Linked DNA regions of Callithrix jacchus. The protein of the gene in region 1 interacts with the protein of each later gene in a biochemical or structural test. Links are inferred from orthologs where the notes say so. Each region holds a gene or a part of one and is shown in the gene's direction. Other genes may lie near its edges.

The links.
Region 2: the proteins of LRRK1 (region 1) and CIMIP4 form a complex in vitro, tested with the Homo sapiens proteins (2 studies listed by BioGRID and IntAct, with this or other methods). The link is inferred for Callithrix jacchus from reciprocal best matches to the Homo sapiens genes LRRK1 and CIMIP4.

What each region holds. Positions count from the first base shown.
Region 1 is NC_133507.1:9,061,650-9,065,930, reverse strand, and holds the start of LRRK1 (leucine-rich repeat serine/threonine-protein kinase 1), read left to right. Parts: upstream 1-1,481; 5' UTR 1,482-1,604; intron 1,605-4,281.
Region 2 is NC_133502.1:207,893,173-207,895,443, reverse strand, and holds the end of CIMIP4 (ciliary microtubule inner protein 4), read left to right. Parts: intron 1-1,314; coding exon 1,315-1,425; intron 1,426-1,624; coding exon 1,625-1,722; 3' UTR 1,723-1,771; downstream 1,772-2,271.

The sequences.
Region 1 (4,281 bases):
TTAAATGCTGGGGATATAACGAGCTCAATACAGGTCATCTGTGTCAAATGTTAACTACGTACAATTTGCACGTTCTCCGTCACCTGGATTTTACTAATTCAATTATGGGTGGATGCAAAGATTTTGCTGATTGGTGAATCCTTCTCGTCAGCTTTGGGGAGAATACATAAAACAAGGAATGCTGGCGATGTATCTTCCTAGCCTATTCCCAAGCTCATTTTGAAGGGAAGCGGAGGCGCCCTGTCTGCATCGGCCGCGTTCCCCCTAGCGTCTGCCCGGGCCTTGGGCCTGCGCTCCCTCGCGGTGGCTCCAGGTGGCCGGCTGCGCGCCCTGGAGGAGCTGCGCCGCCGTCGCGGGGCCCACTCAGACCCGAGGACGCCACGCCCTGCAATTATTGGGAGCTTATCGGTAGCAATCACACGCGGGCTCCCGCAAACTGGTGTGAGGCCCTCCGGGGTGAGCACAGGATGGCAGAACTGCGCTCACCCTTTGGGAAGATCGCCCAGTGGCAGGAGTAGCCTGCTGGGAGCAGAGCAAAGCTGCTCAGTGGTCCCCTCGCCAAACAGGGACCCAAGGGGCCGCTCGAGGAAACGGCCCCGCGGTGTTCGGGAGGTGGTGTGGGGGCTCTGCAGCTGCCCGGGTGCTGTGACTTGGCAATGAGGGTTGGGGAGATTGGAACTAAATCCTGGGAATATGCGAGTCATAACATTCCAGGAGACGCGTCTACAGGGCGCCGGTCCTGGAGGGCGGGGAACCCTCTGCTTTTCCCGAGCAGGCCATTTTCCTGGGTGGACACGTGGAGTTCACGGGGAGGCCCACCTACAGCGTGGACGCCGATCTTTATTGTCTGCGTTCCGGGATTAGCCCCAGCAGCCTGACGCCTCCTTCAGAATAGGTTGAAACACGATACATCGCCAACTTTTCCAGTTTTATGTATTCCCCCCAAAGCCGACAATTAAACGTGATTCACCAAACCGCAAAATCTTTGCATCCATCCATAATTGAATTAGTAAAATCCACGTAATGGAGGTTGTGTAAATTGCAAATCGTTAACGCTTTAGAACTGTGTTCTATATTGCCTTGTAAAGGGCGGCACACAAATGAATATTCCCTGTCTTTTTTATTTCTACGGCCAGAGTCTACGGGCCCCATGCAAGTGAGGGGCTGTTCTGCCGAGGTGGCTGCCGCTAGAGCAGAGGATAGTGAAAGCGGGGCTGAGCGCCGCACCGACCAATCTCCTCGCCGCGCTTGCCCCTCGTGGAAGGAGCCGGGTGCCCGAACCTGGTACTAGAAGGGCCCGCGGGCCCCGGCGTCTCCCGGGACACCAGCAGTGGGGGTGATAGCCTGCGTTGTATGGCTAGGGAAACTGAGGCGGCCACCGAGGGGACGCCTCGCGCCCATTCTGGGGAGAGCCGGCGGCGGCCTTGCCTTGCGCGCTCCTCGCACCGCCCGCCCTCCCCGCCCGCCGGCCTCAGGATTGAGGAAGTGCGTCTGGGCCCGGCCCCGGCGCGCGGCCCGAGGCGCGGGGGGCAGACGGCGGTGGGAGTGCCAAGCCCGGCCCCGAGTCCCGGAGCGCCCGCACCCCGGCCCCGCAGCCGCCGCAGGTAAGTGCTGCTCCTGCCTGCGCCCCCGCCACCCCGGGGGCCTGGCTGCCTCCTGCGGCCGGGCCAGGAACCCAGCTGGGCCCGCGCCACGCGTCCGCGGGAAGCCCTGGCCTCTGCCTGCCCGCGGGCCTGAGCTCCAGGCGGCCGCGTGGTCCGGCAGGGGTGGCCCTTGCTCAGGGGCCGCAGCCCGAGGGGCGCGGAGGGCGTGGGGCGACCCCCGTCTGACGCCCCTGCTGCCTCCCGCCACGCCCGGAGCCCAGGCAGCCTGTGGGAGGCGGGTCTGCGGGGCCGGAGCCGTGAGCCCCCAAACCCTGTACCGGACGGGGTCGGGAACGCAGGGAAGCAGAGGCAAGAAACAAGTAGGGAAATACACCAGGGCGTCCATATGTTTCCTCTGCCTTTGGAGCAAACCCCGTCCTTATCGAGGAGCTGCTGGAGTGTAAGCGCCCGGGTGTGCATGTGCCAGGGTGTTGGCAAGAGACTCCCCAGGAGTCTCTCGCTGCTCCGGGGCGTCCTTGTGCTGCGGAGTGGCGCAGCGAGGCTTCAGCCTCCTTGGTTGATATTCTCTGGCTGATAGCGTTACCATTGCTATGTCTACCATGGTCTCCGCAGCCTACAGCGGACCCTCCAGGCAGGCAGGGACGCAGGGGAGGAAGCCTAGGAAGGCCGGGGTCAGCGGGAGATGATGGTGGAGAATTTGAGGACCGCTGTGGCCATCTCAGCCTACCCCTTCACAGTTTGAGGCCACGAAGTTTTTCTCCCACAAACACATCCCCTGCAACAGGTAGAGAAACAGGGGCACTCAGCTTTTAGCAAACCCTTTCACTGCCTACACTCATTTTAGAGTTTGCCACTCACTCACAGAGTATCAGAACGCCCAGACGTTAAAGAGACAGCAAGAATATGCACAATTTTGGAAAACGTTAACATTAAATGCCTCTTATGACCTGATTTTCTTCATCTTTGCCTATGCCCTGCAAGCAAAAATAACAACAAACTAACCTCACACCTAATTTGTTCCTAAAGGAGGTTTTGTGGTCAGCCAAAATGTCAATGTCTCCCAAATGTCAATGTCTCTGGGAGTGGCCTCACAGTCAACTCAGGTGCTCAGATCAAAAACATTCCGTCCATTGGATCCACCTCTAAAATGTGTCCTGGTCTTTCTCCTTTTTCCTTTTTTTTTTTTTTTTTTTTTTTTTTGAGAAAATCTCACTCTGTCACCAGGCTGGAGTGCAGTGGCACGATCCCTGCAACTGTCTGCCTCCCGGGGTTCAAGCAATTCTCCTGTCTCAGCCTCCCGAGTAGCTGAGACTATAGATGTGTGCCACCATGCCCAGCTAAATTTTGTGTTTTTAGTAGAGATGCATTTTCACCATGTTGGCCAGGATGGTCTCAATCTCTTGACCTTATGATCTGCCCACCTCAGCCTCCCAAAGTGCTGGGATTGCAGGCATGAGCCACCACACCTGGCTCGTCCCCTAAAAAAGGGGGCGGCCTGCCCCCCGCCCCTTCTCCAGAGTACCAGCATCTCTTTCTTGTAGGATTACAGTTCCCCCTCCCCACATAAACGCGAGTGTGTGTGTGTGTGTGTGTTTAAATGGGTAAATCAGACCATATCAGTCCTCTTTATGGAATCCTTCAGTAGCTTTTCCTTGCAATTGGCGTGCAATCCAGGAGACCTCCTTCTGCTCACAGCCCCAGCTGTTCCAGCCTCTGCTTTCTCAGACCACCAGGCCATTGCCCCCAGCCACCCTGGCTGAGCTCGCTGTCTAGCACTGGAATCTGTGTTGCTGCCTCCCAACTCTTCACACGGCCTCAGGAAGCCTTCCATGGTCACGCTCTGAAAATGCATGCTCTCTCTCAGGTCCCCTCACTCTGCAGCCTCCCTGCAGTCCCCACTGTGTACTCCTTCTTTATCTGTTTAATTTCTCCTTAATTACCTTGTGGTCTCTACTGGAGCACCTGGAGTCAGAGACTAATCTGTCTTGCTTACTGCTGCATTCTCATTCCCATAACGGTTCAGAGAGACACCCCACGCTCTGTGGCAGAGTGACTGGATGGGGAATGGACAGCCCTAACTTACCTGTGCTTTTAGACTCATGGAACACTTCTCTCCCCTAGGCTTTTTGTGCTCATCTGAGACTGAGAACAGCATATTCCTCTGGCCTGCACCTCCAAAGTATTTTGATGCCCACAAACCCATTAAACACATTTTGTAGGCAAGCCAACGTTAGTAAGGGATGCAAATAGCACTCAAGATTTCTAGAGTCGTGAGCTAACCATTTTGACCAGGATTTTGGTTCAAAAAGAAGTTGGATGATATGAATGAGCATGTCTAGAATGCTTTGTTGATAAGGGTCTTCTAACTCTTCAATATCGACAGTCCTTCCCAAGCCTTCTAAAATACTCGGGTTTCTCTGCTGTCAGAAACTTTATAGCAATTACTTAGCTCTCTGCTCCCCCACCAGCTTCACAAACTCATGAAGTTCCCTCCTCATAGAAGGAACTCAATAAGACATTTATAGAATGAATGACAGGTTCCTTTTTTTTTTTTTGAGATGGAGTCTTGCTGTATCGCCCAGGCTGGAGTGCAGTGGTGCAGTCTCGGTTCACTGCAACCTCCACCTCCCCCAGTTCAAGTGATTCTCATGCCTCAGCCTCCCAAGTAGCTGGGGTT
Region 2 (2,271 bases), on another chromosome or scaffold:
AGACATGGAAAAATTAAATAACTTAATTAAGGCCACAGAGGTAGGAATGGTTAGAGTCGAGATTTAAACCCTGCCAGTCAGAGGCTGAAGTTTAAATTCTTTTTTTTTTTTTTTTGAGACGGAGTTTTCGCTCTTGTTACCCAGGCTGGAGTGCAATGGCGCGATCTCGGCTCACCGCAACCTCCGCCTCCCGGGTTCAGGCAATTCTCCTGCCTCAGCCTCCTGAGTAGCTGGGATTACAGGCACGCGCCACCATGCCCAGCTAATTTTTTGTATTTTTAGTAGAGACGGGGTTTTGCCATGTTGACCAGGATGGTCTCGATCTCTTGACCTCGTGATCCACCCGCCTCGGCCTCCCAAAGTACTGGGATTACAGGCGTGAGCCAGCGCGCCCGGTCCCATATTCTTTTCTTTATATTGCATCCTAACGTTCATTTATTCTGGTATATCTTCCAGTTTGCCACTTTCTCTCAGCTGTATTTGATCTGCCATTTTACCTGTCCATAGAATTTATTTTTAAAGTATTATGATGGCAATTTTCAAACTGATGGAAAAGAAAAGAACTTAGTTTATGAATAGATGTTGCACACACCACCCAGCCTCAACAGTGATTAATACACAGGCGATCTTGTTTCATCTTTTCTCCCACCCATCCACTCCTACCCAAGATTATTTAAAGCTCCTTCTCCTGAGCTTGCTGCCCGGGCATCTTATTATCCATGGAGTTTAATTTTTTCAATTATCATATGTTTCATTTCTGAAATTCTGTTTGTTCTCTTACTAATCTATCTGCTGTTTCTGGATGGTTTCTTATTCCTTACTTATACTTTTATTCTCTCTTACGGCTTCAAACATTAAATATACTTATTTTGTATTCTGTGTCTGATCATTCAAATCTTTGCTAATTTGGGAGAGTTAGCCTCTGGCATTTCTGCTGACTCTTGATCCTTGCAACGTATTTGCTTGTGGGTGTTTGAATTTTGAACATAGAGACAAGTTTGCTTAAGTTACAGGTATTAGTTTCCACTTGCTAGATGCCCTGATGTATGCCCAGTAATTTTGTCTTCCCAGTCATGTAAGAAAATCTCATTTTTTTTTTATAGATGAAGACACCAAAACTGAGAGAGGTTAAAAACTTCTCTGAGGTCATACTGCCCATAAAGGATGGAGTTTGGCTTTACTTTAAAATCCTTCCCACTCCCCTTCCCTTCCACAATTTACCATCTGTAGAGGAAACTGACACCCAATATAAACCGTGGAGTATCCGATCGCCATTGACTTGGGCACTTGGGGTTTCTTCATGGTATTCCACAGGGGCTCCCGAGGAGACACAGAGCCTCATGAAGGCTTCCTACACCCCAGAGGTCATTGAGAAGTCAGTGCGGGACTTAGAACAGTGGCATGGCAGGAAGACGGATGACCTGGGTAAGTGGGGAGCTGCGGGTGATGGGAGGTGGGAACTGTCCTCCATGGGCAGGGTGTGTTGGCTCTACGGTTCAGAGAGAAACCAGAGCAGGAGACAGAGCCCAGGGGTGGTCTTGGAAGGGGTATGAGTCATCACCTGGGCACTCCCGAGACTGCTGGATGATCTGATCTGTGCTGGCTCCTCTCCTGCTCTCTGTAGGTCGGTGGCACCGGAAAAATGCTATGAACCTGAACTTGCAGAAAGCACTGGAAGAGAAATATGTAGAAAACAGCAAATCCAAGGGCTCAAAGTACTAGATTTGACACGATAGAGCTGTCCACTACTCAAATAAAATGCTAACAATAAGGAAAGGCTCAAGTCTGAGTCCTTCTCCTGAGCTTGCTGCCTTTCTTCACATTGGAGTGGGGACTGATGTGCGGGGTTGGAGAGACCAACAGGGGAAGATAGAAGCCTTGGGGGTCCAAACGATCCCCTAGTCCTCCCTCCTGCACACACGTGCGCACACACACATACCTTCACTCACTATCCCAGGAAAGGACATGAGAACTGAGCGCGACTCTGTCTCAAGCTCAGGGTGCCTGGCTTCTCCCACATGCCCTATGTGAAAGGGGTCCTCTAGTGGACACTGCTGGATCTTACCCTGCATGCTATCCCAAGGAGATGCCAATTCTTTCCAGACATCCATTCCTCCCCCATGAGACACGGATTTCAGAGGAATTGGCCACACACATTTCCTCTGATCTAGTGGTGGGTCTGATTGCTCTCATGGTAATACTTAGCCCCCACCCCAACCCCACCTCTCACACGTGATTGGTTCTGTCATGAGCATGGGACTTAATTTGGGC